3 linked regions of the Tamandua tetradactyla genome follow. The protein of the gene in region 2 purifies or fractionates together with the protein of the main gene of each other region. This does not show direct contact. Links are inferred from orthologs where the notes say so. Each region holds a gene or a part of one and is shown on either strand. Other genes may lie near its edges.

Region 1 (7,359 bases), on a different chromosome or scaffold from region 2:
TGCCTGGCCCGCTGGAAAAAGCACCTGCCAGGCCTTGGGCATGAGGGGAAAGAAGAGGCCCCGAAGTCTTCGATCTCCGAGACAGAGGCTGATGTGAAAATCACTCAATGGCCAGAATCCATAAGTCTCTACATCTGATGAGGCCTCTTTGCCATTTTCAGGCAATCAGAGTCAGACCTGATTTCACTCCCTGGAGGAGACAGCCATCTTGACCCTCTCATCTTACTCGAAGCAGGTCTGGGGCCCGGACACTTACCCCTTTTGGCTGATGGGTGTTGGGACTGACCTCTGGAGGATAACTTGGTAGTCCCTATCTGCACTTGGTCTCTTGGGTGGCCAGGCCCTGTAAGGGGTGGTAAAGTTGGCGGCACGAGAGGGCCTGGGACAGCTCAATCCATGTCAGGTCAGGAAAACCTTCCCCACTCAGATGGCTTAGTGCCTTCATCCTCCAGAGACCACAGGAGCAAAAGGGAGCCTTTGGACTTGTCAGTGAGAGACCCAGAGGAAACCTGGGGAAAGAATGGATTGTCCTCCTGGAAACTTCAGGTATCAGATGAGATGGCCTAGCCAGTCCCTTGTTCCTGCTTAATTATGAGGCCTTCTTGAATTGGGGCCTCTGAAAGCAGATGCCTTGGGACCAACCTTCCAGTCTCCCTGATCATTAAGGACTGTTGATCCACCTCCTTCATAAGAAACCGTCAAGCCTCCTTCCCAAGGCACCTTGCTATTATTAGGGCAAGGGTCCCCCCTGACACCTTGCTAATCCCCACTTATAGCCACTGGTCCCTGGGGAACATAGGGGAGGCTGGGACCACTTGGGACACAGTGTCTTTAGAGATTGTAATTGGCCCTGTGGAGTCCTGCTTGGTGGTCACTGGAGCAGGCAGTGACACCTTCTCACCTTCACAAAGAATTTAAAAGCCCCAGGATTGTTCCCAGTCTCCTCTGAATTCAACCTTCTTTGCCTCCTTCATGGACTGTGTAATATGCGGAACAAGTAGGAGGAGAGGAATATTCCCTTACTATATACCAGGCATTGGGCTGACATCCCACGGTCCATTATCCCATCCCAGATGCAGCAAGAATACAGCCTCATGCTTTGGATGTATCTATACTTCACATATGAGGGAGGCTGAGTTCCTACTAGAGGGGCTTAACTGTTACTGATGAAAAATTGCAGAGGAATTCCAATGCAATTGTTTGGGACCACAGATTGAATGGAAGGAAAGATATTCAGTAAACGTGTGCTCATTTAATACTTACAAGATGAGGTCCACTATTCATTCACACAGCCATCTATTTTAAAAATATGTGCCAGGCTCTGTCCTAGCTTGTGCATGTCCAGCCATGAATGAGATTTGCCCCTGTCTCTAGGAGCTAATATTCTACATTCTAGTGGGGGAGAGAAATAGTAAGGAGGTTGTGCAGGTTTGAAAGTATTATGTACCTAGAAAATCCATGTTTTAATCCTGATTCAATCTTGTAGCAGGCAGCCATTTCTTGTAATACTGATTCAATATTGTAGGGTGGAAATTTTTATTAGATAATTTCCTTGGAGATGTGGTATGCCCAACTGTGGGTGTGGCCTTTTGATTAGATGGAGATGTGACTCCACCCATGCCAGATGGGGTCTTGATTAGTTTACTGAAGTCCTTTAAAAGAGGAAACATTTTGGAGAGAGCAGAACTGACACAGATGCCGACACTTAAAGAACAGAGATACACATGTTTGGAGATGCTTGGAGCCCAGAAGATGTCACTATGAGATGTTAAGCAAGTTAGAATATAAAGAGAGCTAAGGGAAGTCAAGAGATGAAAGTCAGCCCCAGAGAAGCAAAGTGAGGAACCCCTACAGGAACAGAGGGTGAAAGCAACGGAGCCCAGGAGCACAGAGCCAGCAGATGCCAGCCACATGACTTCCCAGCTGACAGAGCTTTTCCAGACCCAGTAAGCTTCCTTGAATTAATATGTTTCCCTGGATGCCTTAGTGTGGACATCTTTATAGGCTTAGAACTGTAAACTTACAATTTATTAAATTCCCTTTATAAAAGTTATTCCATTTCTGGTATATTGCATTCTGGCAGCTTACGAACTAAAACAGAGGCAAACCTAAATGAAGAAGATAATTATAGATGGTACAATGAAGGAGATCAACCAGGTCACATGATAGGGATTACTTGGGGCATGCAACTTTAGGTAGGCTAGACCTACTATGTACTCTGGTCACTCTTGGCTTTAATTGAGCCTTTACCATATGCCAGGCACCAGGCTGATGCTTTTACTTGCTTCATCTTACTTGGTTCTCACAATAATCTCATGAAGAGGGTCTTGGTATCTTCATTTTATGGATGAAGAAATATCAAAAAGTAAACTCACTTGCTCAAGGTTACTCATAGGTACCAAAGCTGGAGTTTCCAACCCAGATCTGTTTGACTTTGAAGCCATCTGTTTGACTTATCCATTCACCTGTTGGCCTAGTTCAGTTAAATTCTGTTTGAATATTGCTCCTGAGGAATAATATCAGTTTTCTGTAACTTCAAGTCACTGCCAACTGACTCATCATTGTTTCTCAATGTGCTTCACTTTATGCCCCCAGAAACAAAGGCTGCCCCTCTATTAAACCTATATCAAGGACTGTGTTAACCGACAGTCTCTATTTTGGCTTTCCTCATGAGAAGATGAGCTCTGTGTTCTCCTCTGGATCCCCAGTGCTTTCACAGCAAGGAGCGGTTCTTAAGATTCCTTAAGGACCTGCCAATGTTTGTAGAAATGAACTTTTTCTGAAAAGCTGACCATGAACTACATTTTGGAAAATCAAATTTTATTTTAACCTATCTTTTTGTAGAGCAAAGAAATGCCACAATTTTTTAAAGGTCAATTTGCCTGTTCATACAGTGTTGATATTGCATCTTCATATATTTCTTCTGTCATTTTAGCAAAGAAAATGTCCAAGTGCCTGGCACAAATTGGTACTCAGTAAATATTTGTTGAGTGAATAAATTTAGATTTTAAAAATCATGTAATTAAGTGCTGTCTCTTTCATGCTTTCTACCTTCCTCTTCTGCCATGCTCTATTTCTGCTTTAAGTAGAGAAGCAGAGTTTATGGAGGGGAGGAGAGCAAGCAGGGGGAGGGGAAGGGCCCAGGGTATCATCAAGAACTGCCCTCACTGCTTGGATGGAAAACAGGCTCAGACAATGAATGAAACTTGCCCACGGAGACCCAGTGACATGGTGTCCAGGACAAGAAATCCAAGTTTCCTAACTTCTAGTTCTGAGTGCTCTACTGCAATATTTCAACAATCTTACAGAGGAAAAATCACTGGTTCAAAATACAGAAGATAAAGAAAGCAACAGTTTATTCAGCAACAGCCATTGCGTTTCCTTATCATTCCCAGAATGAGGAAGCATGTGGTTCTATCAACAGGGAGTCTAATCCCACCCGGAACCCTGGGTGCAGGACAGAAGCAGAGTGGAGACAGGCATAGAATCTGCAGCCCGAGAACTGGGTCCTGGTCCCACGCCTGACCCGACTATGATTTTCTGGCGCTGGTTCTCTGAAAAATATTCCTCCATGGAGACCTAAGCATAGGTTTTGTCTTTTCCCACGCCTGACCCGACTATGATTTTCTGGCGCTGGTTCTCTGAAAAATATTCCTCCATGGAGACCTAAGCATAGGTTTTGTCTTTTCAATTCGACGCTAAGGTCTTTGAAGTCACTTACCCAAAGGGAGTTTAAGAGATTAGAAATAGTCACACCTGCCCTTCCTCTTTTTTTTTTTTTTAACATGGGCAGGCACTGGGAATCGAACCCGGGTCCTCGGGCATGGCAGGTAAGTATTCTTACCTGCTGAGCCACCATGGCCTGCCCTGCCCTTTCTCTTTCAATGGCTACTTTTCTCCCGCGTCTCCACTCATAGGCCTTCCTTCCATTATCCTGCGCCTCTTCATTCCTGCCAGGGCTGTTACAATGCCCTTCCATCCAGTATCCGCGGTTTCATCCTTAGCCTGTGCACACTACAGCTCCAAAGTTCTCTATGGCTCCCAACTGCCCACCTGTGATCTGACTTCAGCCGTTCTCAGTTGTCTGTACACACCCGGACCTCCCCTTCTCCACGATCTAACTTTGCAGTGGATTCCTTTATAAATCCTCATTCCTCCGTCAGCCCGGCGCTCCCAACGCCTCCTTTTGCCTTTCCCCTTGGAGCGCCAGGGGGCGCTACAGAGCCGACCGAGGCGGAGGGGAAGAGACTAGCGAAGCCGTGAGAGTTGACCCGCCTTCCTTTCGAGCCAATCATTGGCTAGTGGGCGGAGACCGCGCGCCCCACACCTACGCGTTAAGGGGAGGGCGGAAGGCGCAGCCCTGCGGACCCGGAGATGAGGACGCGGGCGGGGCACGCCGCGCTGCTGCTGCTGCAGGCGCTGTTGGTGCCGCCGGTCCCGGGGGACGCCGAGGCCGAGCTCCGGGCTCCGCGCCGGCGCGGGACTCAGCGACGCTACACCCCGGACTGGCCGAGTCTGGACTCCCGGCCGCTGCCGGGCTGGTTCGACGAGGCCAAGTTTGGGGTGTTTGTTCACTGGGGCGTGTTCTCGGTGCCGGCCTGGGGTAGCGAGTGGTTCTGGTGGCACTGGAAGGGCGAGGGGTGGCCCCAGTACCAGCAGTTCATGAGCGACAACTACCCGGCCGGCTTCAGCTACGCCGACTTCGGGCCGCAGTTCACGGCGGGCTTCTTCCACGCTGAGGAGTGGGCTGACCTTTTCCAGGCCGCGGGCGCCAAGTGAGTGTGGACGCGCGGGTGGGCGGAGCGCCCCTGCCCCGGCTGGAGCCGCCCGGGCGCCAGGAGGGGGGGCCGGAGGCGAGGTCACGCAGCTGGCTCGCAGCTGTCCCCAAGCTCCTGTGTTTGCCTCCTGAAGGACGCAGGATTGATTGTGGCACAGCGTGTTGGGAAGCTAGAAGTTTCGACTGGTTGGGGATTAGAAAATAAAGGTTTCGGGAAGCAGGTGAGCTGGAAAGCCCTCAGTCGCTACGCAGTCCTCTGACGTGGGTGGCACCTGATGTCCTTTCCGGGCCCACCAGACAGGATTCCAGGATTTTGAACCCGTGGCGTGGATTCAGGTCCCAGCTCAACTGTGAACTCAGCTTTAACACGTCGCTTCACATCCCCCCTGCAGCCCCCTTCGTTGTCATAGTTCGTTCAGTTCTAATATCTCTAAGATGAAAAGGGAGGCAAGGGAGTTGTGGGGTGCAGTGTATTCGGGGCACAGTAGATTTTCGTTCGTCTGCTGTTCCCAGTGCCTTGCCCATAGAAAGTGCCCAAGAAATGTTTGAATTGTTTTGAGAACTGTTGGAGCCTGCGGGTGGTGGTTTCAAAGAACTGAAAGGCCAGCTACAGCCGTGGGGTGGAGGGGGGCAAAGACCTCCGTTGTTGAAAGAACAGGTTGTTGAAGGCAAGGCAGGGTAGTCCAGGAGAAGTAAGCCTTGCGGCAGTGGACACCAAGGAGTGCTTACTCAGCTGCTTGAAGGGTTGGTTTGGCTTCAGGGAGGCAAGTGGGTTGGAGAAGTGCTTGGAGGGAGGCAGACGGGTTTCCCCACTTCCTGGTTTAGAACACAGAGCAGTCTTCCATCCACACTTTATTCCTCAGTCATCTTTGGGATTCTAGTTTTGGTGTGACTTACACTAACGAGAAATTATAACCAGCATTTCGTGTTTCCATAAAATGTATGGGAATATAAGACTTGAATAACTAGAGGCAGTGTTCTCTAGCTTCAAGGGATCTTTAAGAGCTGTAATTTACAAAATGAAAAAATAAAGTCTGGGGGACATGCACTGTCTAGACCCCTTATTTTATGAATGAGGTGACTGTCCCAGAGAGAGGAAGGGACCTGAGATCCTAAACTTCAGGTCCAGTGACTCCAAGATGAGGGTTCTTTCCCTTACACTGGAAGCCTGCAAACAATGCCAGAGGGCCCAGGAATTAAGAATGGTTTTTACATTTTTAAAGGGATGTAAAAAACAAAGAATATGCCACAGAGGTGACTGCAGCCCAGAAAGCCTAAAATACTATCTGGCTTTTTGTAGGAAAACTCTACAGCACAAAGATGACAAGTCCCAAAATGAAGTGTCTTAAATTTGTGATAATGGATTCAGCCTTTTGTATAAAAGCTGTTTCTCAGACAGGCCACATCAGTCGCATGATAGTTTCTGTAGTTCCCCACACCAGTCAGTGAGTAAGTTATCACATGGAGACATACCTGTTTTTCTGCCATAAAAGCAAATAAATGATTTTGGTTGTGATTTCAACATGTGCTGTTTCTCCCTAGCACTTGTGATCCTTTGTCATCTCTGTAAATGAGAGGCAATTCATATAATCTTGGTTAAAAAAAAAAAACTTAATTTTCTATTATCTTCACGCAAAGGGTTAAAATAAAAGGCTAATAATATTGAAGGGTTAAAGAATGAAAGTGCTTAGGTACATTTTTTTCCCTCTAGGCCTTCTAGGCTGCAAATGAAGGGCAGTGGCTAACTCTAATTTGCCTCCATTGCTGGAACGAACACCCCCCCTCCTCCAGGGGAGTTGTGACTGCGGCATCCCCCAGTGTGTATTTCCTGTAGTTCTTCCAACCACTTTTAAAGCCTCCGGAACCCTGGGCAAATTCATACACACAGTCCCCTGCCTGCTTTTTTGCTCATATGATTCTGATGTCCACAGGTATGTAGTCCTGACTGCAAAGCATCACGAAGGCTTCACAAACTGGCCAAGTGGTGTGTCTTGGAACTGGAACTCTCAGGACGTGGGACCCCATCGTGATTTGGTTGGTGAGTTGGGAACAGCGCTCCGGAAGAGGTGTGTATCTATCTTCGCTCTTGATCTAGCAATGCAGTGCTCCATTCCTTCTCTACTCTCATGTGTTTTCTAAATTTCCAGTGTAGGAAGTAATTGAGGTAACCTGAAGAGCTTCTGGCCTTCACATTAGCAGTGTCGGTAAACCTGCAACTTCTCTAATAAAAAGTCAGTAAATAAATAAATTTATAGTCTTTTTTTTTTAATGACTTCGCATGGATCACTTAAGTGTTGACAAATAAAGTGGAGCTAATGTATAGTTTCTGAAGCATCTAACTAAAAGACATTGATGGTAATCTCATTTATTGTGTCATTTTGTCAAACCAAGAGTAGTCAGGGGGTCTAGAAATTCTTCTACTCCCAACAAATAGAATACCAGCTGAAAACTTGTAAACCTATTATTCACATGAGTGTGGGACATCTCTGTCCCTTCAGACCACATAATGGGTTCATCGAAAGATAAGTGATGACTAGGAAGAGTAATGATAAAGAAACAGATGGTGCAGAGGTCTGAGCGAA
Region 2 (6,824 bases):
AAGTGGCAGAGGCCAGATGTACCCCCACCCCAAAAATGAACTGTAATGGCCCCTCCTGGGGATGTTCACATTCCTTTATGCTCTTGTTGCAGGGAAGGCTGGGGCTGTACAAAGCCGCCAAAGGGATGCTCCCTTTTCCAGCCAGAGAAGGTGGATCCTTGATAAAGGAGACCAGTAGAGCCTGCTACTTAACCACAGAGTCAAAAGTAAGGTGCTTGGCTTCCCTTCTGCTGTCAACTGGCCCCCACTGGCATGTTCTCTGAGCTGCAACCCTCATCCCAAAGCAGGGAGTCCAGCCCTGAAGCCCAGGTCATGAGGGGAGCCTGCAAGCCTCAAAGCAACCGCAGCAGAAGCCAGAATCTCCCTGGGGGAAGATGAGTAGGCAAGAACTGACCTGGAGTGAGATCAGAACAAACCGCCTACTCCAGCTCACTCCTCTTCAAGCATGGAAGCCACAGAGCAATGCGTACCACACAAAAACCTTCCTTTTTAGAGCCACTTGAAATGCCTGGCTCCTCTGTGACCAGGGCAACCATGGCTCCAGCAGCCTCCACCACCACTTCATCTCTGAGGATCTGCTCACTGGGCTCTGAGCTCTGTCTCAAATCCCAACTACTGCCGCCATTTCATCAAACCTTTTTTGAGCACCTATTTCTGGAGCCAGGGCCAGATGTAAAGTTCAGTGAGACTGATTTCTGCATTCTAGAAACTTAGAGGGAAGCTGTATAGAGAGACTTATTATAGCAGCTCTAGCTCACTTTGTTAAGGGAGACTAGAGAGCAGAGCTCTGGAGTCAGGTGGACCTGGCTTTAAGCCCCATCTTTGCTAGCTATTTCACAAGCAAGATTACTTCTCTAGTCTGTTTCCTTTTTGGAACACAAGGACATTAAAAGCTAGTAACTGTACCCATTTCACAGGATTTATGTGAGGACTAAATGAGAGAATCTATGTCAGTGCTTGGCATACACAGCAAGGACTTGTTAATGTTTCCCATCTCAAGGGGTTCTCTGGGCCCTGAAAGAGCTATAACCTCTAAGCATTTGACTACAAGTACCTAGGTTCTTGCCATCCTGATACGCCTTCTAAAATAAGGGAAAGGCACCCTTATGCTCTGGCTGGGCTGTCAGGCAAAGATGACCCTCTTTCCTAACATAAAAGCATTCTTGCTGGGAAGAGTGGGTGAATGGAAAGGGAGCCATGCCTCTGTCTTCTGCAGCTACCCAGAGGAGGATGAAGGTGGTCCTTCCAGGCCCTGACTGGACCCTTCCCTTTCTGACCAGCTCCTTAACTCTTTCCTCCCAGGAAAGGTCAAAGAAACAGCCGATATACCAGTACCACGTGGTGCCAAGGACTGGGGGAAGCTCACACTGCTAGCGTTGCACTCCATTCGGCTCCTCTTGTACCAGTGGGTTACTGTAACCATGGAGACCAGCAAGTTCCTCCATATCACAGGAGAGCCAGCCTGCCAGCAGCCCAAGGCCCTGGGGAATGGGGGTGGAGGGGGTAGGGAGAAGTCAGCCTGCAGCACAAAGGTTTGGCTCCCTTTACAGAAGATTGTGGGAAGTGGAGTTGAGGTGCCTGGGCTTCCCTCTAACCCCCTTTTTTTTTTTTGCCTAACAGCTTATGTTTTAGCACATTCTCAGGACTCTGGGCTTCTACACCCAGCTTACACTGCTGGCTCCCTCCAGCACACTTCCGGGAAGCTGCATATGGTATGGTAGTGAAGGGTGTCATCCTGGGGTCAAGTCCCAGCTCTACCTCTCTGGCTGCCTTGGAGGGAATGGAATGGAATTGTGGATGAAGAGTTCCATCAACCACATGCTTTCTTTAAGTAATTCAGGTAAGTAAATCTTCTATCCCTTGTTTTACCTAAATCCTTGTGTTCAAAGAACTATCTAGACACTTCTTAACTGGGAGTAACTGCTCCCTTTTCTGGACTCTCAAAGCACTTTATCTACACTGGCTTATCTTTTTTACTCTGTGTCTCCATGTCTTTCCTCTCTCAAGCCCTGAGAGGCCAGAGATGGTAGCCTGCTTGCTTTGTGTGCCCCCAATGCCTACCAGTGCACATGTTACTTACATATGGAATAAAAGAGGTACAACTCTGTGAACCCTAAAGCCCCCCAGGACAGAGTGGCCTTCATTTTCTAAGGAGAAGAAGGTCTGAGGAAGCAAGACCAAAACCTCTTGCCATGAGACCTGCTTCCCCTTTCCAGACATTCATCACCCTTGAAATTGGTTGGATACCATCTCTCCTTCCCACCAGCCTACACTGCAAAAGAGGGACACAGGCCCATCTTATTCATGGCCCAGAACAATGTCTAGCACAGCAGACGTATTCAAAATGTACTGAGAGAACATATATGTAAGAGTGAATAAATAGGAAAATGTGGTGGGGCATCTTCATGAAAATCTCTGTGATCCCCCAAATCATAGCACTCTGCAGACAACCAGCAGAGCAGTAGGCCACAAGATTCCCTGGATGACACCGATGGAAATCTAATTCCACTAGCGAGCTTTCTCAGGTGGGAAAAGGCTCAGGTGCTCTCTCCTGACACAAAGCATCAGGTAAAGGGGTCACCAAGGTGAAGTGCAGAGGAACTCAGAACACAAAGCTTAGCCAAGGACCAGCAGGGCAGACTCCCTGGCCACCCTCCATTAAGCCCAAGCCCTCCTTTCATCTCAGAGGGGGAAACCTCTCCTCTGAACTTCCTGTTGCCTGTGACAACTACCAGCCACTCCCACTTAAGACAATTCTTCTCTCTGCCTCTTTACGTTCAATTTTTCCACTGATATGCTAAAAAAACATTGTATCTTACTACAACAATGCAATGCAACTTTAACACTATTGATTTGGGGAAGTGACAGTGACTTGCAGCAGAGCCTAACTATAGGCTCTGTTTTGGTATCTTCTGTTTGAACCAATACACTGATCATAAGGCCCTGTCAACCCCAGGGTGCCACCTACCAAAAGAAAATCACCCATACACATACACACCTGCCTCCTGTCTTGATGCATAAACCAGCATTCCCCACCCTACCCCCCACCACTCCCCAAACAGCCTCCTGTTACAGAAAAGCAAAGGAACTAAAAACGGCAGCTGGGGAGCTCAGTTGACTCACCCAGCATAATCATCTCCTCCCAGAATCTCCCATCTTCTCCTGGGTTTTTTGCCAACACAAAGTAAAAAAGAAGCATGAGATCATTTTTTTTTTAAACAAATAAAACAAACAAACAAAAAACTACCTTGCTATTTATGCAACAGCCTTTCTACCTGGATGTAGATTTATTTCTTTGTCTCTGCCCTTTTGCAATGTGATTTCTTTAAAATGTCTTTATGCTGCAGAATAGATCCAGTGCTGGGCGGGAAACAGGCCTTCTGGGTCCCATCTGGTTCCAGCCCTACCACTGGAAGGTGCTGAACAAGACACTGCTTCTCTTTCCATTTCATCTTTATCTGGAAATGGAAAACATACTGCTTTCTTACTCCTCCAGTTTCAAAAGGGGAGTTGAAGGAAGAGGAAATGTCAGAAAAAAACACTGGGGCAAAGTCTGCTTGCCTTAGAAGTAACCATGGCTAGAGGTCAAAGCTCAAGCAGAAGAAGTAACAAAAATCACCTAAGGCTGTCACTGCCACCCTGGCCTCAGAACTATTCCCCACAGGGCCATGCTGTGATGCAGCTGCTCCAGTTAAGTGACCATTAAAAATCCAACTGGCTGCTGTTTCTAAAAGCAAAACCCCCTGCTGGGCCGTTCCTGTTCATAGGCTGAGATGTTATCTTTCTCATACAGCAGATCATTAAGAACCCAAGCAGGTGAACAGACATCTGAGCCGTAGGGGTGGGCTGGGGGTGGGGGTGGAGTGCCCCATTTCTGGTGCTACCTAAGTACGGGTCAGTGAGCTGATATTGAGAATCACACAACTGCCCCGCAGAGCAATCAGAGAGAATCAGCATAGCTTTGTGGCAAACTTCAGCTGGGGGTGTGGGGAGTGGGGTGGGGTGTCAGGGAAGTGTTTTTTTTATTTTATTTTATTTTATTTAATGCTCATTCAGCATCCAAAAGGACAACTTATTTCTGTGATAGATGGTGCTATGTCTGCAAAGTAATGAGAACACTTCCACAAGGGCACAAGCAAATCTGCTGCAGCATATTAGTCAAGAAATCCCCAACTTACCAACAGTTCCTTCCTGTGTTAAGTAGGAACTATTTTTCCATAAAGACATGCCACAAACGGTGGTTGTGTTCTCAAAACCAGCCCATGAGGGCCCACCATTGGATCAAAAGTAAAATATTAACTGTACTTCAGCTCTAAAGCATAGTTCAGAACAGGAAAAGGACTTCAGAGTTCCAACGTGGGATCCAGGAACTATCTTTGCTCTCTATACATCATGGGCAGCAGAAACTGGGCTTGAAACAAGAGCTGGGGGTGGTGGTGGTGGAGATGATAGGGACTTAAAAACCACGGTGGTAAAGAATCGGGCATTTGGAGGTGATTGGAGCATAAGGTTGGATAAGGAGATACTGACCCAGACAGAGACCAGGAATAAGGCTGGAGGAAAGGAATGCTGAAAGGTACTGCCTTACAGGAGAAGGGATGGATGGGTTAAGAAGACCAGGTAGGAAAGCTTGCAGCTAGAGAAGAGAAACGGGATCCTAAGACAGTACACTGGCACATCAGGTCAAACACTCTGTCTCTCCTACAAGGCTATGAGGCAACTAAAGCAAGGAATGGGCCTCATTCTACCTCGCTGGGCTTGCCACCCCTGCTGCTGCAACCCTGGGCTGAGGGCAGAGACTGCTGGATTCTAAGTGGCCATGACCTGGGCAGGTGCCCTGACTAGCTTGCCAGATAAATGGAAAAGGTTTCTTCTGTCAAAAGTGGCGGAAAATACTAAAGAGTGCAAGCCTCTCAGCGAGACCAAATATATGTCAGCTTGTGACTTTAGGCCTAGGGTGCTCCCAAAGCCAAACACCGTGGTTCACTTGCTGGCAGCAATGACAGTTCCACTCCAGGGTGCCCTAGCTACTTGTGTATTTGGCCTAGGAGCAGAGTACAGTAAACCAGATGATAGCCATTTACCATTACAAGTACCTTCTTAAAAAGTATATTTCATAATTAATTCATCTTTTCAGAGTCCTAGAAGAGAGCCTGTTTGCACGATTTCTAAGAGAATGAAAAGGCCCAGAGAACAGCCAGCTTAGCTATGGCTAAGGCAGCAAAGACCTGGGTTCACGTTTCACAGCTGAGTGTTGGAGGCTCTGTGCTTTCTAACCACTGTGACAGGGGTCTGGGGGTGGGCTCTTTGATACAGATTAGCTCATGTGCTGGTGGAAGCCCTGAGGAACTAGAACCACCAGTTAACAGGTGGTATTGGGGAGAAAGGGGGGCGGGGTTGAGCACTGTTGGATGTACTATTACAAAGACTGCAGACAAGAGAATAATCGTTATTTTGAAGGAGGCAAGCAACCAAATCCATAGCTCTCCAGCTCCAAATGCACAGAAAGGGCAGAATACAAAAGGAATACAGGACCCTCCCTCCCTCCAACAAATTCTAAAGGGCAGCTGTAACTACCAACAGGCATAGAAGCTTAAATAAAGTCCTGAAGACTGAGAAGAAACCCACCTAGGACACCTCTAGTGAAAGAATTTAGCTGGGCTGTACAAGGTCACTGATATCCATCCTATCCTGTCTATGTTGACTACCAAGGACAAAGAACTTTCCAGGCACGAAGTGGTCTCTACCAAGCCTTGAAACAAAAGGTGTAAGATCAGACATGCCAAATATCCAACACCATCCAAACACATAGAATAGTGCCTGGTATATTCTAAATGCAAATGGAACTCACTATTGTTATAATTCCATATAACAACTTGTGGTGGAACTTGTGCTCACCATAAATGCTCTGCATCTCCAGATGAGACGGAACTTTTCAAACTGATCTAGGAAAGCTCTGCAGTTGAAAGCCAAGTTCTGGTCGTCTACTCTCAAGGCTCAGACTTGAACTTGGGTAGAGCCAGCTCAATCGTTCTCTCTTTTCCATAAAACGCCCCTGCCACTATAGTCTCCCCTGATAAAAAGCACTTTAAACATCTACATCCCAACGTAGGAAAATCCAGAGGATATACCACAGCTCTTGAGATCCAAATGTCAGCAATTTTGCCAAGACCTTCTAGATATAGGACCATGGAGTCTTTGCAAACCAATAGTCACGATGGGAAATGTGACTAGTGATTAAGAAACACACACACACAGTCTGGTGGGAGACCCTAATTCTTATGTTATGTACTCTCTAAAGCTAAGCTCTGCCTCTTCTGCTATGATGAGGAAAACCTGTGTGTGTGGTGGGAGGAGTGGGGCAGTGGGGGTGAAAATTTAGCTGTAGTTCACGCTCCTGAGTCTCTCTGGCTTGGAGACTTGGCAGCCTTGTGTGGAGCCAGGCTCCCATCACCAGCTGTCCTTCACACAATATAACAGGCTCACTATTTGAGAAGATGGGATTTTTGGTACTGGGTTTAGTATCCCATGAACTAGTGTCTGTCTCAGGGCAGTTTCCTGTAACAGCTGCATGTCCTGCAGACAGGATTTCAGATATAAGAGAAAGATAAATGAGATACAAAAATTAGGAATTCACGGTAATAAAGGCAGTGCAAGAAAGAATGAAAAGTGATTATCCATCTTCTTCTCAGAGCTGAAAGTCCTAACTCTGCCCCACACTCCCCAGGAGAGGCTGACCTCCCCTAGATGGTCCTCGCAAAGGAACCAGACACACTCCCGTCTACCCTCACGGGCAGGCCCCGGCTTCCTCCTGGTATCTGCAC
Region 3 (7,928 bases), on a different chromosome or scaffold from region 2:
ACAATCCTGAAGCAGCAAAGCCTGAGAAAAGCAGCCTTGCTGGAAGTCAGGGTGCAGCCTGATGCAGTGAAAAGAGCAAAGGCTCTGGAGGCAGGAAAATAAAAGCTGCTAAACTATACCAGCTGTACAACCTTGGATAAATCATTTAACCCTTCTGGAGTCTCGGCATCCATGTCTGCGAAATTGGGGCCATAAAACATATTACAACAATAGACTATCCTCTGGTGTTCTGGACTCAACCGAAATATCAAACACAGAGGAATCGAATAATGTGACAAGACCAAGCAAATAACCAGTCAACCAGGACTGCACGCTGAAATGGTATCAGCCCAACTATTCCAAGATCCAAGATGTAAAGAGAGGCTTTTTTTTTTCTTTAAAGAAACTCAATTTTCTGTTGTCCAGCAGTCATGATTTGGAGAACTATCATTCAATCAGAAACACCATGGGTCCAGGTTTATCCTGGGACCTGGGGTTGCAAAAATGAACAAGTTTATCTTCCTAGCCCTCAGGGAGTACTCATTTGTGGAGGACATGAAACGTGCTGGCCAAAAAGCAAATGTATCTATTTGAAACCTCTCTCCAAGTCCCAACCTGCTCTTCATTCTCACCGCTCTGTCTCCCTGTTACCTCTTTTCAAGAAATAAAAGAACTACTGGGCTCAGGTGACTGGTGCAGTTCCTGCTAAGATCAAGAGTTAGGACAACCCATGTGCCTGGTTCAGTTTGAACTGCAGGCTCAGCCACCACTCACCCCAAACACCACCACCCCCTTGGCTCCACCAGCCCAAAGTTGGGCCTGAGCCCGGCAGATTCATCATCTGCTGAAAACACAGCTCAAAAAGCATAACCAAGGGATGGGGAAGCAGAACTCCGTTGGATTGGGAAGACATTCATTAAAATCTTAATAGGCACATGAATAAACGCATACCACCAGAGTTATTTACTAACCTGAGGATTGCAATAAATTAAAATAGAGTTGTACTCAATACAATCCCCTTATTTTTTCTCCAGACTCCCAATGGTCTTGTTTGCCGAGAAGATTTGAACCCTCTGTGCTGCTGCCCCCGCCCTGCTTCCCCGAGAAAAGATGGAGTCGCCCTCATGCTAAAAGGACCAAGAAGCCATCACCAGCAGGCCCTGCAGGGAAACAGAGATTTCAGAGAATCCCTCGAAAGTGTGCTTGTGGAGGGACTCAGCCTCTTCTGACACAAGAAAACCTGGTCCGCGGACACTTAACAAAGGACCTGCCAGCAAAACCCTGCTGTCCCTCAGCAAGAGGCCAAGTCAAGAGGCTTCCGCACTTGAGCGGTATCACCGAAAACTGGCCCTCTCTGCCTGCGCTGTCAAGGGTCCCAGATGGAGACTCCTAGGGTCCCTGGCTCTATCTCTGCTTGCAGGGGAGGCGCCCGCCCCTTCCAGGCCATCCAAATGAACGCGCATTTCCGGGGCTACACGGCCTTCGCTAAGGGGTGATCCCACCCCTCCCACAGGCGAGGGTGGCACGCATGGAGTCACCGGACGTAAAGTGCTGCATCCAAAATGTTATTACAGTCGGCCCTTCTCCCAAGCGACGAGAGGGGCAAAGGAGTCAGCGCCCAGAAGCGAGAGCTGGAGGCTCAAGAAAAGCCAAATGGCTTGACGACCGCCTTTCAGAGTTGCGGGTGAAGTTCCCCACTCCCGGCGCGCGCGGGAGAAGGAGGGGAGGAAGAGGGCGAGAGGGAAAGGCGCTCATGCGCCCCCAGAAGGCGGTGCTCGCGGGTCCTTGCCGCAGCCGGCCCCTCGCGGGACGCGGGAAGCGGGGCGCGCACCTCGGGGCCACGTGCCGCGGGACGCGCCGCTCACCTTGAGATAATCGTTCTCCGAGCGCAGCTCCTCTATCTCCCGCAGCAGCTCCTCCTCGTCCGCTGCCCGCAACTGCCGAGGCGGCTCGCCCGGGCGGGGATCCTTGGGGGTCCCGCCGCCTCCGTGGCCCCTCCCGGGGTCCGCTCGTTCTGACACCGCGCGACCCCCACCATCGTCCGCCGCACCGGGCACCGGAGACCCGGCCGAGACCCCGCCAGGACTGCTGGCGCCCCCGGAGGCGGTGCTGGGTGCAGGGGGCGCGGCGAGGCGCGCGGGGGGCTCCGGGCTGCTGGACGGCGCCCCCCGGGCTGCCGGGATCGACGCGGGGGCTCCTCGCGCGGGTTCGCGGTCGCTGGAGCCGGTGCCGGACTCGGCGTCGCTGCTGGCGGCGGGGAGTAGGCGCTGCTCGTCCGACAGGGCTTCAGAGGGGCAGTCGGAGAGGTCGGAGCTGCTGTCCGTGTGGCTGAGGCGCGAGCCGGGAGCCGGGGAGCCAGCGGCGCGGGCCGCAGGGGAAGCGACGGGGCCCAGGGGGCCGGCGACGCGGGCGGGGGGCGCCCCGGGACCGCGCTTGGCTTGGCGGCCCTTGGCGGCGGCGGCGGGCGGCGGTTCGGCTCCAGGCGGCGGTGGCGGCTTTCCCGCCCGGGCCAGCAGCTCGGCGCGCGTCGCCTTCCTGGGACCCGGGGCGGCCCTGGCGCCGCCCGCCACCTTGGTCCCGGCACCCGCCGGCGGCTTGTCCTTCGTACCCGGGACGCCGCCGCCGCGCCGAGAAAGACGGCCGGGAGCGGCCAGCAGGGGTCCGGGCGAGGACGGCGCCTTGGCCGCGAGATTGGGCGAGCGCGGGGGGCCGGGGGCCGGGGCCCGGCCCGGGGAGGGGGCGGCCGGGGCCGAGCCCGGCGCCGCGGGCCGCGCGTGCAGGTCCCTGAGGAAGGGTCTGGCGGGCGAAGGCGCGCGGTGCAGCCGTCTCCTCTCGGCCAGCGGGTGCAGGTGGTGGTGGCGGTGGTGCTGGCCGGGCGGCGGTGGCTTCGCGTCCGCGGCGCCGCCGCCCGCGGGGCCGTTCAGCGTCTCCATGGCCGGGGCACGGGCGGCGGGCTGCAGCTCCCGCGGCAGATGCTCCTGGCGGCGGCGACAGTGGCGGCGACCGGCAGCTTCCCCGAGTGCTCTCTCATCCCTCCGCCTCCCCCGCCCTCCCCGCCCGCACCCCGGCCCGAAGGGTCCCCGCGGGGCTCGCGCACGCCTGCGCCGCCCGCTCGCCCCTTGCTCTTGCGCTCGCGGGCCGCCCCTAGCCGGCTCCGGTCAGCGAAGCTCCAGCGCCCTCGCCTCGCCGGCGCCCGGCCGCGCGCCTCCCCGGGCAGCCGCGCTGGCCTCGGCCTCACAGGCCCCCATTCATCCCCGCAGCGCCCGCTCCCCGCCCACTGCCGGGCCGGGCCTCGCTCCCCCGCAGCGCCCGCCGCCCCAGCCCGCGCCCTCCCCCGGCTCCCCCCCGAGAGGACTGCGAGCGCGCGCCCCTGCGCCCGACGCCCTGTGCGCATGTCCCGGCCCCCGCCAGCCGTCCCGGCGCCCGCGCTCGCCTCGCGCTGCCAGAGCACCCGGCGCGGCCAGGCCGGGGAGGGCGGGGCCTGGCTCCGGGGCGAGGGCGTGTCCCCCCGGCCCCCTCCCAACGCTGGGATCCGCCCCGATTTCTGAGGCGGGAGACACAGTGCCCGAAGCTGGGGGATGGGGGGGCAGCCGGCGGTGGCGGCGTCGCGGAGCCCCTCTATGATGTGTGTGGGCGGGGAAGGGCGGGGTGGCGCGCCCGCCTGGCCTCCGCTGACCACCACCTCCAGCCCTCACGGCCCCCCCATCCGAGCCCCATCCTTCAGGGCCCCCCCACTCCCCGCCCCCGCCGTCCCCACGCTCCTCTAAGGACAGCTGGTACTCCAAACCGCTTTCGGGTCCAAACGGGCGCGGCGCTCCACTCTTGGCACGCCCAGTGGCCCGGGGAGCCCAGGGAAGGAGGCTGTGCAGGAACGGCTCGCCAAGCCCGGGGTCAGAAAGGGCGCTCCCGGCCACGCCCCAGCGCGGCCCGACGGTCCCCAGGCCTTGTTTTAATGAGTCCTCATAACGACCCCAAATTGGATGACCCTCCTCGCGGGGGAGGACGAAGGTGAGGGAGAGTGACGACGCCTGCTGGGGTCCCTCAGCCAGTCGGTGGCCGAGTCGGGATTCGAACCCCGGTCGGTGAGATTCTCCACCCCGTGCTCTCTGGGCTCGGGGACCCAGGCCACCGAGATTTGAGCACCTGTCCTGGTCACTCGACCTTCTCGAGCCTCGGTTCACTCAGAAGCCTGTATAATCGGAAGACACGCCCTGCCTCCCCCCACGCCTCCCCCCGCCCAGGTGTTTGTGAGGATTAAATGAGCAAAATAGGAGAAAACACTTTTTAAACTGTAAAGGGCTTTGCAAGCGTTACTGAAGTCAGTGTCTGTTGCAGGGGTTGGAAGTTGGAAAACAGTGAAAGAACTAGGACCCAAGTCTGTCCCCTAGTGCTGGCGGGGAGGGAGGCGTAGGAGCAGACAGGAATTACAGGTGTTGGGATGGACATTTAACCCAGCCGGGGAGATGGTGGGAGGCTTCTTCTGAAGCCGATGTTTGAGACGCACCTGGAAGGATGGCGAGCCTCATGGGTGAGGGACAAGGACATGCCAGCAGCCTGGGCGGGGCCAAATATCTGCTGCAGAATTTGGATGTTACCCTAGAGGCTGAGGGAGCCTTTGGAGGGTTCTGAGTAGGAGGGGATTCATGGTTTGCTTGGAAAGACCACGCTGGCAGCTGGGCAGCAGGGAGGCTGGTGGCTGTGAGGATAGGGCAGGTGAGGGCTGATGAATAGCTCTATCCAGGCAGTGGGGGGAAGTATGGAGAAAGGGGGACAGGTTTATGAATTTAAAAAGAGAACAGACTCCACAGTTTGTGATCATAATCACAAATTAACCTGCTGTACCCACCTTTTTCAAAAAATACAGTGTCAACTGATTTTTTAAAAATCCTGCTAGTCAGGACGGTGCCCTCAGAAAACATCCTGCCTGCTTTCTGCTCAGATTCCCTGGAGGAGAAGCCCTGGCCATGCCCCCTCTGCCCAGGTCTGAGGGGGATGGAACCCTCACTGGCTGTTTCAGATTTTGCCAGTTGTTGGTCTGGGTGCTCCTCTGAATGCGGGCAGCACACACAAAAAAGAATCTCTACCAAATCAGCTTTGATGCACTATCTAAGAAGACCGCAGTTATATCTCAATAAATATTAGGAGAAAGGGGGAAAACGATGGACTTTGTCTTGTTGGCACGGATGAGAGTAGCTGCAGAAATTTCTGGCAATGAGGCATGTTAGTTTGAGAGGCTTGTGCCACCCTTGCCCCGTGGTCATCCAGGCCATCAGCCCCCTCAGTCCTAAGGGCCCTTCTGACGCCTTCTTGTGACTGCCAGTCAACCAGCAGCTGGCAACGGTCACATCCCAGGGTGCAACTAACGTGAGCCCGGTGACCAGGACCTTTGCCCACAGCTTCCTCCAGAGACCCAGAAGTTCCTAACACTCTCACATTTCTGAGAGTTACTTCCAATACCTTTGCAAAGCTTTCTTGCCGCTTCATACCATATAGAATCCTGCAAAAGACCGCCTCAGGACTACTTCATCAAAGAGTCCAGAGAAAGCGAAAAACATTAGCTTATGTGACCATACGATTTGCAGCAAGCTTACTTTGCCCCCACATAAGTCAAACAAATTCATATTCCTTATTGTTAACCTGGCAATTGTTTCTACTAACTCTTAGCCAGAAGATGTTCAAGAAGGCTTTCATCGTTTTCCAATATTCAGTGAGATGCAAGTATAAAGCAATATCTGCTTGCGTAATAGATGTTTTTTAAAAGTTGCATGTGATTGTAAAAATCTTTTTTTTTTTTGTAAATCAAATGCTTCTATAGACATTAGGGAGTTCACTATTTAGAGGAGCCTCGAAGTGCTTTATTCTGTAAAACAAAATCCAAGTGTGACTGTGTTGGTTTGATCTGTTTGCCCAGACACAGTCCTTCCCTTTCTCCTACCCTGCTCTTTGTGGGAGGAACAGTCAATCCCTTAAACTGAGATGTCTTGGAAGATGCCACCTGGTGGTTAGTGTTAGAATAGCACCCCACCCTCCACAGAAGCTGGAAGTGGGGTGAAGGTCCTGTGTCATGTAAAATAGCTTCCAGGTGATTTAATGAGCTGGATTCCATTAAAGGGAGAGTATTCCTTTAGAAAGGCTTATGGCATGTTTGCTAAATTTGAAATTAAAAGTCCAGAGCTCTTTCCTCTCACAATGTAGCTGCTAAAAATTTTTTAATTATTTTAAATAATTAATTCCAAGCTTGTTGCATAGGGAAATTTAAGTTGTTAAATAAGCTAAATAAGTAAAATGAATCAAAGTTAGTTTATATTTATCCTTTTTCAAACCTCACTCTACGTAATTGACACATTTTACCTCTCCGTTCCCAGTTTCTTTTTTTTTTTTTCAAAAATGAAGGGAAATTGATGGTATGCTGTCACCCCATAATTTAGAACACTGCGCATTTCAACATGTCAATTCTGAACTGTACGGCAAGTCTTGTGTGTGCTTTTATTATAATTCAGCATTGCTTATTTCTCTCCCTACAAAGTTACTACCCTTCAAAGCAAACATGGTGACTTGAAGTAGAAAATGAAATAAACACTTCTTGCTGACGCTGTCTTTCCTGCCCAGCTTTAATGCTCCTCTTTACATACAAAATATACAAAATAAGGGCAAGTTTACGTGGAAAACAAAAATAAAACAATGGGTGCATAGAAGGTTCCGTAGCAGATAATACATACGAAGTAAGCAACCTATTCAATTAAGGAGATAGGACACTATATAAAATCATCATAAAAACACATTTTAGTTATTATTACTGTGCAGTAATTACTGCCAGGCAAATTTTACCAATGAAGACATATAACAATGTGAACTCCAGGCCTGAACACAACGTTTTGTTCAGTTACCTTGAATAGAATAGCTCCAGTCTTCCTGGGTGTTAGAGACCTTGCCTATAAAATTAGGGAGTTGAACTTAAATGAGCTTTAATAAACTTTCCAGCTTTATGAATCTGGGAGTTAAGGAGAACTTGTACGTGCTATTTTAATTATCAACATGGGATTATCCATAGTAAATGGTAGGCCACTTCTGTTCATTCTCAGACAATATGTAGTCAAAGAGTGTAAACTAATTTTAACAGAAGAAAATCATAATTAAGTTTAACATGATGGAATAAATAACAAATATTACTAAAATGTATTCTTGATTACCTGTTGGGACAGAATACTAAGAGTTAACCATGTTTTTAAGTGGTTCTTGATGTTAGGGGCTTAGAATAAGTAACTTTCGTCATTGGCTCCTTAAATACTGCTCACAGAATTCGAGTGTAGGATGAGGTACAAAAAGCATTTGCCAGTCCTCTCATTTAACAGGCCCCATCTGTGGGAAATCTCTCCAATAATTAGGGTGATCATAAAATTTATCATGTAGGCCAGAACACACTTGAAAGAAAGGCACACTATTAATTACCTTTGAGTGACAGGCATATCTGAATATGTGAAAACACAATTTTTGTGCATTAGCAGGTATTGCTCCTTGAGAATGATGGCCTAAACACTGGAGAAAAAAAAAGTTGGCATATTTAAGGGCTATAAATCTCTGAGCAGCTAAACTTGTTTAATAGTTGTCCAGGTCAAAGGGAAATGCTAAATAGAAAGACTTTTAGCTCCATGAATTTCTTTTGTCTTCCAGTGAAGCTAGGATCTTATCTTTTGTATCAACCTAATAGAATTTTTTTTTTTTTTTTTTTTTTAAAGGAAAGACAGAGAGAAGGAAGGAAGGATAGAAGGAAGGGAAACATCTTTAAACATTTTCTTGTTTTATTGTATTCTGTTTCTCCGTTTTTGTTACATGGGCTGGGGCCGGGAATCGAACCGAGGTCCTCCGGCATAGCAGGCAAGCACTTTGCCCGCTGAGCCACCGCGGCCCGCCCCTAATAGAATTTTTTTATCTAGAACATGGTGTTCAGT

What was found.
Region 1: the proteins of MARK2 (region 2) and FUCA1 purify together in Homo sapiens (affinity purification with mass spectrometry; 3 studies listed by BioGRID and IntAct, counting the BioPlex papers as one, with this or other methods). This does not show direct contact. The link is inferred for Tamandua tetradactyla from reciprocal best matches to the Homo sapiens genes MARK2 and FUCA1.
Region 3: the proteins of MARK2 (region 2) and MTCL1 purify together in Homo sapiens (affinity purification with mass spectrometry; 5 studies listed by BioGRID and IntAct, with this or other methods). This does not show direct contact. The link is inferred for Tamandua tetradactyla from reciprocal best matches to the Homo sapiens genes MARK2 and MTCL1.

What each region holds. Positions count from the first base shown.
Region 1 is NC_135328.1:202,363,021-202,370,379, forward strand, and holds the start of FUCA1 (tissue alpha-L-fucosidase), read left to right. Parts: upstream 1-4,348; 5' UTR 4,349-4,374; coding exon 4,375-4,775; intron 4,776-6,708; coding exon 6,709-6,843; intron 6,844-7,359. Other genes in the region: CNR2 (cannabinoid receptor 2), read left to right, coding at 1-138. UniProt on the Homo sapiens protein: Alpha-L-fucosidase is responsible for hydrolyzing the alpha-1,6-linked fucose joined to the reducing-end N-acetylglucosamine of the carbohydrate moieties of glycoproteins.
Region 2 is NC_135335.1:10,713,322-10,720,145, forward strand, and holds the start of MARK2 (serine/threonine-protein kinase MARK2), read right to left. Parts: upstream 3,020-6,824; 5' UTR 1,424-3,019; coding exon 1,367-1,423; intron 1,348-1,366; exon of another isoform or gene 1-1,347. UniProt on the Homo sapiens protein: Serine/threonine-protein kinase. Involved in cell polarity and microtubule dynamics regulation. Phosphorylates CRTC2/TORC2, DCX, HDAC7, KIF13B, MAP2, MAP4 and RAB11FIP2. Phosphorylates the microtubule-associated protein MAPT/TAU.
Region 3 is NC_135344.1:72,112,025-72,119,952, reverse strand, and holds the start of MTCL1 (microtubule cross-linking factor 1), read right to left. Parts: upstream 3,012-7,928; 5' UTR 2,913-3,011; coding exon 1,845-2,912; intron 1,648-1,844; exon of another isoform or gene 1-1,647. UniProt on the Homo sapiens protein: Microtubule-associated factor involved in the late phase of epithelial polarization and microtubule dynamics regulation.